2 linked regions of the Lepisosteus oculatus genome follow. The protein of the gene in region 1 interacts with the protein of each later gene in a biochemical or structural test. Links are inferred from orthologs where the notes say so. Each region holds a gene or a part of one and is shown on either strand. Other genes may lie near its edges.

Region 1 (6,039 bases):
TTATTTAAAATAAAATATACATACAAAAGCATTCACACCATACCTTTTACCACTATAGATTTCTTTTATCAAACACCCGTTATAGATATTAAAGCTGCATTGGTACAGAAAGCATGCAGAATTCACAGATGCAGAAATGCTCATTGCAGAAAGGAATAAAGAAAGCACTGGTGGCTAATGCAAGTCTCAGGGTGTGTATAGTTTTTCTGTGAGTGACAATGAAATGGGAATAAAAGTGCAAGTGAGCCTTTAGGGAATCCTATTTGAAATGCAAGTTGATATAGGAGCTGCCAGAAACACTTTACTTTAAATGTTTAGCACACCTGCGTTTCAGAGTAGACATCTTTATAGCTGAGAATAAATTTGGGAGAGAAAATTACTCTAGTTGGGAAGCTTGGTGTGCCAGTATTTTATAATCCGATTTGCTTTAGTTTATTGGTTGAAAAAGGAAACAATCCAATATTAGAACACAAGGAGTCCATTCTGCCCATCTATATCAAGTCCAGATCTAGAGAAATTCGTAGTTAAATGATCGGCCAGTTGTTTCTTGAAAGAAGCCAGAGTATGGTCTTTAACAACATGGAGCTTCTTCCATAATCCCATCAGCCTTTGCCAGAAAGAGTCAGGTTAACGCCCATTCATTTAGACTGGGAGTAAAATACCTGATGACAGTAGAACACACCCTGGAGAAATGTAAGATGGAGTATGTTTTTAGTCAGACTGCAATCCCACTTTTACAAGGCAAAGCGTTTACCATACGCCCTGAGAAAAGTCCCCGATGCAGTAATGCTAAAAGCAGAGGTATCATTGCAGAACTGCAGATGTTATAAAATCACAGTGGGTTGCTGTATGGAAGCACACGCTTACCCACTTCCTAAAGTGAAGGAGCTGTTTGCCAAAGTAGTGGGTTTTCTCACAGACACTAACAACTGAAAGATGTTTCCAAGTGTCTGGGTGTAAGTACGTCAGGGTTTATACAATTGTAACTGTGCAATATAGCAATCCAATTGTTCCAGCCATTTTTCAGTCTGTAATATACTAGTTTCTGAAGCTACTGGAGCATGTGACTTGTTTCTTACACCTCATTGATTATATTTCCCTGAACCATGCCAGAGTGGTGCTTAGGCTGCAGGGTGATGAAAGTGTTTCTGCGTGTCCCTGCAAAAACTGTTCAACAACGGTTAACAAAATGATGTGATAGATGGTAAAAACTATCATCTTGAAATCATAGACCAATGAGATTTTAAGTTAAGTTTTGTCTATTCCCAATGGTTTCCAATTTAAATTTACATCGGAAATGTACAGAAGAAGACAGAAAAGAAATAGAAAGCCAGATGTAGGAGATTTCTATGGTCTGTCAGGTGACAAAGGATAGCAAGTTGAAAGGCATGGTTTCTTCACCTTAATCGTTTTTTCTATTTTTGCAATGTTTCAAAGAATAAGTACTGTAATTGTAGGTCAGCAGCATCATGTTGTCTGGCAAGAAACACATGTCTTCCTACTGATGAGATAGTATGTGATAGCTGACTATAAACCTTCAAACAGATCTTCTGAGTTATACTAATCAAAAACGGAACTCAATTAACTGGAATTGACTGAACAATGATTTGAACTACATGTAGAAAAGCTTCTGACACTATAGAATAAATAAAACTATATTCAAAAAATAAAAATAAAAAATAAAACTAGTTTGCCCCCTTTAAATTGTTGCAGATGTTTTGCGAGTCAAGGAGGGGGGGAGTCATTGTATTTGTATTTGGAATAGTATTTACAATACACAAACACATATAACAATGTATACTCAAGAAAAAGAATAGAACGTTTTTGGTCTTGCAAGAATTCAGTAGTTCATATATTATTGAATTAGAACTATAACAGTCATTCGGTTATTCTGGTAGCATTCGGGACATCGAAGAATTACTTAATAATAATAATTAATCATAATTGCTTACACTTATATAGCGCTTTTCTGGACACTCCACTCAAAGCACTTTACAGGTAATGGGGACGCCCCTCCACCACCAATGTGCAGCATCCACCTGGATGATGCGACGGCAGCCATAGTGCGCCAGAACGCTCACCACACATCAGCTATCATTATTTGATATTATTTGACTTGTGTTCCATTAATAAAAAATGAATTAATAGAACATACACGTTTCATAATGTACTATTAGCCTAGAAAACATTTACCAGTCAAAGCAATTTACCAAATGTGATCTTTGCTAAACTGACAGACACGATGCTAAACAAACTGGCATATCAGTCTTGGTCTGGACACCCTCCAACTCGTGCAGTAAGTCCTCCACGCCGCCGCGTTTTCCCGGTTTCCGAGAGCTGCTCTCGAGGGGGTGGTGTATTTGCTAAATTTTTCCTCTCCCCCCAAGAAGATCCGGTGCACTGACGTGGCCACAGGGAGCCGCCATCTTGTGGGAACGCCTTGAAGAGGAAGCGAGCGGTGCTGTGTGGTGGTAAGGTGGATGGTGAATTTACTTAATTTTTAATGGTATGACATGAAAAATCCCATATATTACATACGTTTGAGAGCACAAGCCAGCTGAAACTCGGGAGAAGTACGTGGGCGGGCAGTCGCAAGGTTTCAAATTTGACAGTAACACCGGGCCGGTTTTCAGGACGGACGCGATAAGGAGAAAACGGCCGATTGGCCTTTTCTTCTCAAGGTGTTTTACGGCTGTCTTGCTGTGATAATGCTCACAGTAACATGGTACGGAACAACAAAAATGCGTTTTTCCCAGGAAACAATCCCGGCTGGATTCAACTGTAAAACTGAAATCGGCCGAAGTTATTGCAACTGTTTTCCTTGTGAGACGATGTCCATGGTCATTAGGCCCGAGTCTCCTCGGCTGCCTCCTCTGTGTTTTCAGGAAAATGTAGTGTTTGTGACTGTAATAATGATCTTCAAATTGGATGCATGTAAAGTGCATTGGAGGGGGATTTAGCAGTTTAGTAATGGGTTTGGGGAAGCCGCGTAATTTGCAGCCGTTGTGTTAAGACGGTCCTGTTCCTTTGTGGGACTGCGGAACGTCAGCACGCGGAACCGGAACCTTGGTGAGCCCTTGGAGGCAGCGCGAGCGCTGGGCAGTGCAGGAGGCTAGCAAGCCCGACTCCTGGCCCAGCATCGCAAAACCATCGTTTCGTTCTCTACAGGCTACAGTCGTGGTTGTTCCTATCGCATTGCCTTCCCCTGGCTAAAATAAGCTTCAGGCAAGTCAAGATCTCAGCATAGAAACCTGGGCGCGGTTTTGAAATAACGTATTTTGCTTATCACTGATCATTTGCCAGTACTATTAAGTTACCGCCAGCGTTCTTCCATTTCCATTGAAGTCTTTTTTTTATTTTTCAGAGTCCCCCCCCCCACACACACACACAGAGTGGAACATTCCGTGATCACTTTCAAAGGCCTAGCAATTTGAGAGTGTGAACAATATGCTAGCTGTTTTATTTCCTTAATAGGATGACAATAGCAAATAAGCGTGTGAGAGGTTTAAAATGAAGTCTTTCGGCTTATCTAGCCTGTACATATGTTAGGAGTTCATTGGAGGATCTCATCCAGCTGTTTCTTAAAAGAAGCCAAGGCAGCAGCTGTAACAACATAGCTCGCTACCTTGTCCCACCACTATTTGTGTGAAGACGTGCCTCCTTTCCTTAGTGCACTTTCCCTAAGACATCTTCAGACCTGACACCACGTTAATTTCTTCCATGCCCTAACTTGTTGAGGTGTTTTTTCCTTGTGCAGCTATGTGGAGCTGTGTTGAAACATCTGAAATGACCTCACTGTTAGGTGGGTGGTTATTTCAGCTAACTGATTTTTACCATCATTGGGGAATGCAAATGCCCTCACCCACAGCTGTACCATCTTCACATGAAAGTATAGTCCTTAACATGGAGAGATGTTTAGCTGGAAATAATTGAATTAACATTTCAAGTTGTTTAGCCTACTTCATACAGTCCATGGGGTATATTCAACTTTTTTGCTATAAACCTTTTTTTGACGGTGTATTTTTGGGTAGCTTGTCAATGAATTAATTTAATAGCCTCCATTTTTTAAGCTTTTGTAGGATGCACAATCTTCTGATTGCTTGTAAAATGCTGTCAACTTGTCAGTTCAGAAAAATATATTGGGAAGAGGTGCAAGACCAGGACACCCCACAAGCTTCCGACATCTTGTTTTATCACTTGAATTCCATGCTATAAAAAAAATCTGACATTTTGGTCTACATCTACCTAAACGTAGCACTGGGCTGTATAGCCGGCCATGAAGCATTCTTCATAACAAACCAGTTATAACTCGCAGACATCTGTGTTGCATAACTGAAAAAGCAGAATTTCTGTGGGGTAACATCACTAAACAAGTTATCTAGTTTTTAGTTCTACTTATCTGATATTTATTTCTTAAACAAGACATAGGGGTATTTTACTCTTGTGCTAGAGCTGGAGTTGGCAATAAAAGGCCCCTTTTGGAATGTGAATTAAGGAAATGTAACAACTACAAGAAGACCTGTGAAAGAGGGGTGATTGAATTAATCCTGTGATCAGTGAGTTGTTCAGAATCCAACACTGTCTAGTATGTATGGATGTGCAGAATTTATTCATGCAGTAATAAGCACATCATTTGCCATCAACAGTTCCTGATAGTATATGTTATTTTTTTGTTTTTACAAGGTGGCAAAAAACCTAAAAGTGTGTTTTTCAGATGCTTTCATCCATACTGTGGAAATACTGGTGGTCTTGAAAAAGTAAACTCTTGATGGAACACAATACTTAATGCAGAAATATTTTTCCCTTTGTAGCTTGCATTCATTATCATTATCATTAATTAGTCAGATATAGTATGCCATAAGAAAATAACAGTCATGGTCTCAGTATACATACGTGTACAATGCTGCTTTTGTATACTATTACTTTTGATAAGTATACTAGTATAAATAGTATACGGGGCAGAGCGGTGGCTCTGTGGCTAAGGATCTGCGCCTGTGACTGGAAGGTTGCCGGTTCAAATCCCGTGGCCGGCAGAGGAATCCTACTCCGTTGGGCCCCTGAGCAAGGCCCTTAACCCTAACTGCTCCAGGGGCGCTCTGACCCCAAGCTTCTCTCCCTGTGTCTGTGTGTCTGTGTCTCCATGGAGAAAAGCTGGGGTATGCGAAAAGACAAATTCCTAATGCAAGAAATTGTATAGGGCTAATAAAGAAACATTATTATACATTACATTATTATAAATGTTTCATTATTAGGAATGCTTTGTTTTTGCCATTTTATTCCATAATTGTCTCTGAAGTTTCCTTAGATAGATAGATAAGCATTCTTGGTTTTAGGTCCAAGTGAAAACTCTTTAGACACATTTCCCTCAGTACAATTGTAACCAGGCTGGATTATGCTACTGTTGCTTCTGCTTACAGTGGAATTCTTGTGGAACATGGTTAGAACAACTTTGTCAGCTTCTGCTTTTGTGTGTATGTGAAAGACTTTCTTTTCAACCATAACTAGGTCTGTTCTATGATTTAATCCCCCCCCTCCTCCACGTGCTACATGTTACTGATGGCTAAGTCATTTGACAGTGGGTTAGCAATTGTTTTGTGCAAACAAAAGAGATTGGAAGGCCTAGTTTCAATGTATGCAGGAGGCAGTTGTGCCTCTTTTTCTAACCGTTTAATGTTCCAGAAGCTTTGTTGTAAAACCTAAAATTCTGCTTGTGGCATTTGGATGGTCAGAACATCTCAAGAGCCATAGACCATGTTTAAACCATGTTAAAGCTTATAGCCCTGTCTTTTCTAAACTATGTCTGATATGTAGTCAATATTGTCTTTAGCATAATCCTTTCCTATTGCAAGAAATTTTGTTCTTTACCGTTGGGATATTCTTATTTCTGAACTGCTGTGAATTTACCAATTCATCTAGATTTAACAAAATTTGTGAGGGATGGTAATTGCCTTGGAATTAAATGTCAATTTTGCCTTATGATACTTGTAAAAGTGATAGAATCAGTTGAGAATCAATTTGTATTTCCTTTGCTCTATATAC
Region 2 (6,039 bases), on another chromosome or scaffold:
TTTATTTTTACACTGCCGAAGATAAAAAAAAAGTTTTACATGTGCAGGTCACAAGATGAAATATGAAAATCTTAAGAAGTATGTGATGAATGCTGAAAGAAAACCTGGACATGATGGAGAACTACTGAAAGAAAGGGAAACAGGAGACTTATAAGACTGACGTAGGAGAGCAAATGGAGAATGTCTTCTTATTTTTATTTTTTGTTGGTTTATAAGCCAAACTGTGGTCAATCTTCTATGTTATTATATAATGTACTGCAGGCAGTAGCGATACTGTATGTGTACAGTGTTTAAAAAAGTCTGTGAGGGTGCTGTGAAATTCACTTGTGCTGTGCAGACCAGCTAAACCAAGTGAAAACCTCAAGTTAATATCACCCTGCTACAGCGATGTTAAACCTGATTTGCATAACAGTGCTATGGTCTTGAACAGTGCTAGGAGGAAACTTTTCCACTGCAGAAACAAGCTCCATGAATAAAGGCTGTTTTCCATCCTTTTTTAAACAAAAATCTAGAAAAGGCATTTAACCAAAAAGGTTTAAACAGCCTACAAGTAAACATTTTTCCTTAAATACAGACATTTTAAAACAGAACTGTGGTTACAATTGTTTGCTAGCAACATCATAATTTGAGGATATCATGAAGATGATTTTTAAAATGTTATCTTCATTGTGTTTGCCAAAGTACATTGACAAATATTTGTATCTCTGGAATATTGAAGTAATTGTACTGTGAAAACCTTGTTTTTGAAACAATGTCTACAAATAAAACAGGGGACTTATTGCACTTAGAGTCTTGTGGTGTTAATTAGCTCACATTGAGATCCATATAACCTGAGTTATATACAGTATATACTATAATAAGAGCACTGTTACTAAGTGATACTAAATGGCCTGCAGTTTCAATTGGCCAATAAAAAAGAGTCAATTAAAAATGTTGTCATCCTTGTTTCACACTAATGCTGAATAATTATCTCGCAAGGAAAAAAAAATACATATTGCAGATACAGACAATGAGCTAAGCAGATACTGAACATAGTGAGCAAGAAAACAGATTTCAAAAAGAAAGTTATTTTTGTCTGAGACAGTTTGCTTTGTTAAAGAGGTTGTGTCCTGGTCCTAGCTCCTGTCCTTCCAGTCTTTAAATGCGAATTTGTATCAATTACTGTACACCATTCGGTTAATTTATGACTCCTTAACTTCAAGGCCCAGTGTACAGTATGTTTTCTATACCAAGCAAAGTTCACACCAACAGTGATTACAATCATAAAATCATTTATTCAGCTGGCAGTGTGCAATCTCCTTCAGATACCTAAATTCCTGGGCTCAAACTGATCAAGTTTGCCCAAAGCTTCATTTGGCCTTCAGAGTCAACAACACACAGAGGAAGAGGCACTCAAGAATCTCAGAGACCATTGTTACATAGTTTTTCAGAGATGATTGCATGGAATGGAAATAATTTAATTTTTATTTGCTTACATTATCTGGAATACCTCTTGCGGAATTATTTAAAAAAACTTACTTATATCAGATTTGGAGGTGAGACATGATGTGCACTCCTGCTACCTGATGCTCCCATGATTGGCACCCCTAACTTTGTAACCAGTCTTCAAAGTGTGGGTTGCTGAGTGACACAGTTGCATTGTGAGATCTCACCCTGACCATGATTCGCCTTTAGAATCACCACCACTTAACCCAAGGTGGGTATGAGACAGCTATTAAAAATCAGGCAGTATAGTTCTCTGTATTTTGAATGTTAGCTGGCTCATTGCTCTGGGGAAATGACTTCACTGAGCTTTTTCCAAAGCTCAGAACAAAAAAAAGCCTTTAATTTAATGTTCAATTATGGCATCCATTGGTATTATGGTATCCACTGACTTCACAAGCCTGACAGTGTCCATGCCTGCTCAAGCTGATTTCCAGTTTTTGCTGTTTAGCAAATTTTATTTTTCAAAGCAGAACAAGAGATCAAAACAAAAAGGACAAATCCATGCAAAGAACTGAGCCTCAAATTAAAAAAAAATGGTATGGCTTACACAATGGAAAGTAATTACATATTTTTTTTTAGATAATAAAAGGTGTCTGAACAGGTGCTTTAGTAGAACAAAAAAAAAAACTAGCCTTTTTTCTTTATAATAGCAATTACTGAAAATGAATGCAAACTAGAGCAATCAGAAGGTATCTTAGTCTGCACCCAGCCCCCTAGGTCAGTTAGACTCCGACTCTGACTGTAGATTAGATCTTTCACATTTTCAGAACACAAGAATAAGAAAGTTGTAAATGCAGAAAAGCACAAAATTCAATATCGGACAGACACCAAATGGCGTATGATTTATTGGCTGTGGGGCTTTTACTTGGCAAATTATATTAATTTAACTTCATATTTTTAATTCTGCCATTTCTACTCTTGGTGAATCCTTGTAATATTTTGTGTTCTTTACGTTTTTTCTTTTACGCCTGTGCATCTGTTTCCAGCGACTGTCCTACTTCAAAGCCGAAAGACTCACGCATTTTTATTTTCTTGGTACATTGGCATGAATATTTTTTTCCCAAATTGTTTTGATGAGCTAAGGGCGACACCCAGTGCTTAGACCCTAGAAGACGGCATTACCTCGTGTCACAGAAAAGGGTTAATTTTGTACACGCTACCAATTTACCCGAAATGCATTGCACTTTGCAACGTAGGCAGGTAGGCACCGACAACATGGCTGTTGTCTGATACAACACTCTTAGGGACTTTTTAAAATATAATTAACAGAATTTACCAAGACAGCTTCTTTCCCAGCGAGGGCCTGCGTCGTATTTTTCACTTTGAACTTCGTACCCCAAGTTAAAGGTAAGAAACGTAATTTTTGCTGTAAAAGGAGCATGCTTTCTGTGGGTAATTGTTAGCTTTTGGTAGATACCGGTCTGTTCTCTAAATTAGCGCACATCTTGTGTGCTGAAGGCAGATCAAAGACAATGTACAGTTATAAATGAGTGTTCGTGCTTCATTTACGTGTAGCTTGTCCTCTCCTCTCCTGGAGCAAAATATTTTTTTTGTACTATAATGCTGCGTTTATTTTTTTTTATACCGGTCGCCAATACATACCACGAATTTCCCTATATGAAAATGACATAAAAATGTGATTTACAGGGGTTGCAGGGCTTTTAATAACATTAGTTCTTTATGTATTTTAAGCAGTAACTAATGCACTTGCATTTAATAAAGCCTGTTGGTCTATATTGGAAATGCGGTGTTGTGTAGAATGTTGTTGATTTCATATCCCGTCTATTGCTACTTCAGTGGTAAAAATGTTGCTAGATTTGAATTAAGCGATCCTGAGTTAAACAAATTCTACGATGAACAAAATCGGTTCAAGTCGCTTCCCTCAGTCTGTGGGCAGTAAAATTACATCCATACAAAACGGGTCTACAGGTGTAATCCACCTCTATCGGCGGCTCAGAGTCTTGACAAACCAAACGCTTTTCGACCATTGCTGTCGATTCCATCGCGAGTTGCGGTGGCCGGGATGTTTAATTTATAGGATCGGAGCCGAGGCGCATCTCCCGACAAGCCAAAAAGTCCGTGCGTCATCACCGGAAAGAAACCCGCAAGCACGCCTTAATTTGAGAAAAAAAAATGAAACTTGCTGATCTGTCACTGCTGCGCGAGTGTAATAAGAAGGGACGAGCATCCTTTATTAAACAAATACCAATTTATGTGGGCAATCCTGAAATGGACCTTTAGAGATTTGTTTCTGCTACTTTCGTGGTATTTGTATAAAATCGTTTTTTTTTTGTATTGCTCTGTTTCTGACCGTTTAAAGCTCTAAAAAAGTAAAGGCGACATGAAGGTATCACGTATTACCCATTGCTAGTATTCTTCAGACATACGAACAGGATGCCATGTCCTCAGTACTTTGTGTAACTGCCCATTGATTGGAGAACTCCTGCAAGTGCCTTTATGCTGTAGCAGTCTATTTTCATCTGGTAACTTCCTTCAACGGAGAAATCTCCTCAATACTTTATGCACTGCAATTTGTATCCATAATGAATCACAGTTGCCAACTTTCTTGGCTCTTTAATACTTGAGGGGTTAAAAAGACCTATTTATTTAAAAGGCCTCCTATTTATTATGCAGCATTTTGTAATGTACAGTTACATTGTGTGATGTCGTCTGTTGTAATGTATCATTGAGCCTATCATATGGAGTTTGTATCTTCACTCTGTGCTCACATAGGTTTCCCACAGGTGAAAGACCTACAGTATGTAGGCTAATTGGCTTCTGGGACAATTGCCCTGGGTGTGTCTGTGTGTCCTGCGATGGACTGACGTCCCCCTCCAGTGTGTATCCTGCCTTGTGCCTATTGCTTGCTAGTATAGGCTCCAGCTCCCCTGCAACCCTGAATTGGATGAAAAAATTAAAAGATGATCTAGTTTCCAGAATGAGTAACATTGTATATCATTGAGGAATCTGCTGACCTCCACTTTGTTTTAATGCCAGCTGGTCGTGTTTCCTGTATAGCCACTGCTCATGTTGTGACACCACCTTCATCTGCCCCCTCTGAGCTCCTGTTTCCAGTTGCTTGATGGTCTGCAGGCCAGTGGAGTTTGTTTTCGAAGATAACAGCATATTTTTTTAGAATATGATTGTTTATACATTTTTTTTCTCTTCAGGACAATGGCTAGTCCGAGGACAAGACGCGTTCTGAAGGAAGTCCGAACCCAAGATGAAAACAACGTGAGTTTCGCTTTATGGTCCTTGAAATTATTACAGTCCTAAAATCGCATGTTAAGAATAATATTCACTTTTTCCTGGTACACTAGTGCCCTTTTGCAATTAATGTAATCTGTGAGACGTATGTAAAGGTTTCACTGTGTTGAAGCACGCTAATGTGGTGCACCCAGTAAGAAGCATGCTACACACAGCTATGAAAGGCTTTCTGCTGAGCTCTGAGTGATGGGAGCTGATAGCCTAAGGAGATGCCTTGCTGGTGTACAGATCATAGGAGAGTGAGGATAGTTAAGTTGGGTTCTGTTTAACAAACGAGTACTAACAGTTTGATTCTTCATCTTAAACATTTTAACTTGCTTTAAATTGCTTTATTAATTGTATATTAACTTGCTTTAAATTACACAGTATTTGTAATACGATCAGCAATACCCGTGCACTTCTGCAGAACCTTTCATAAACCAAGTGCTTGTTCTGTCTTGGGTGGATACAAGACAGCTTGGCATTGTTTTGAAATGTGTTATGAAAAGCTCTCTGGAAAGCTGAGCTGAGAGAGTCACCTCCTTTCTCACGGGAGATCACAGGCATTTCTGAGTGCGTGGTACACCTTAGACCAGTGGTTCCTAATCCTGGTCCTGGTGACCCACACACCTGTTGGGTTTGGTTCCGGATGAGTTACACAATCAAGCCCTTCATTTACTTAATAATAAGATTAATCTGGACTGTTCATCCCCAGTTCTTAAACATGCTAAGCTTTATCTGTTGTATTTTGTAAGTGAAATAAAATCCCCAATTTGTGACTAAAAAGAAAATGCAAATAATCAAATGAAGCAACATTTTTAGATCTGTTAAGGCTTCAATTATCTAATTAAGCTGAGAATGGGATGAACACCTGCAAGTGTAAGGGTCAGTAGAGCCAGGACTGGTAATCACTGCTATAGAGACATAAAACAGCCTCCCATGTTACCATAAATGCTTAGTCAGAGCAAGCCCCTTGGAGCACTGCTTGTTAAGCACATCCCAGTTAAGAGATGCCAAGTGATTAGTGGCATCAGTAGCTATAAATGGAATTAACATCCTCAATTTACCACTATTACTTAATGGAGAGTCATGGAAGTTTATGGGTATCTGGGATGATTACTAATGAGACAGCAAAATGGATGTGGCAGAATTTGTAACATCCTTGCATTATATTGGGGGGCAAATAACATTCCCATGTCAACAGGCTGACTTGGTGTTTAGCTTAGATCCCCGAGAAGAAAGGTCGATTTTGCTCATAGATAGCAATGTAGTGTTTCAGAGAGGAGGTTAGGGAAATGCTGTTTTAAT

What was found. The genes of interacting proteins can lie anywhere in the genome.
Region 2: the proteins of arf1 (region 1) and arfgap1 form a complex in vitro, tested with the Homo sapiens proteins (2 studies listed by BioGRID, with this or other methods). The link is inferred for Lepisosteus oculatus from reciprocal best matches to the Homo sapiens genes ARF1 and ARFGAP1.

Annotation. Positions count from the first base shown.
Region 1 is NC_090701.1:29,758,104-29,764,142, reverse strand, and holds the start of arf1 (ADP-ribosylation factor 1), read left to right. Parts: upstream 1-2,385; 5' UTR 2,386-2,471; exon of another isoform or gene 2,472-2,506; intron 2,507-6,039. UniProt on the Homo sapiens protein: Small GTPase involved in protein trafficking between different compartments. Modulates vesicle budding and uncoating within the Golgi complex. In its GTP-bound form, triggers the recruitment of coatomer proteins to the Golgi membrane.
Region 2 is NC_090711.1:9,713,173-9,719,211, reverse strand, and holds the start of arfgap1 (ADP-ribosylation factor GTPase-activating protein 1), read left to right. Parts: upstream 1-2,661; 5' UTR 2,662-2,832; intron 2,833-4,655; 5' UTR 4,656-4,659; coding exon 4,660-4,719; intron 4,720-6,039. UniProt on the Homo sapiens protein: GTPase-activating protein (GAP) for the ADP ribosylation factor 1 (ARF1). Involved in membrane trafficking and /or vesicle transport.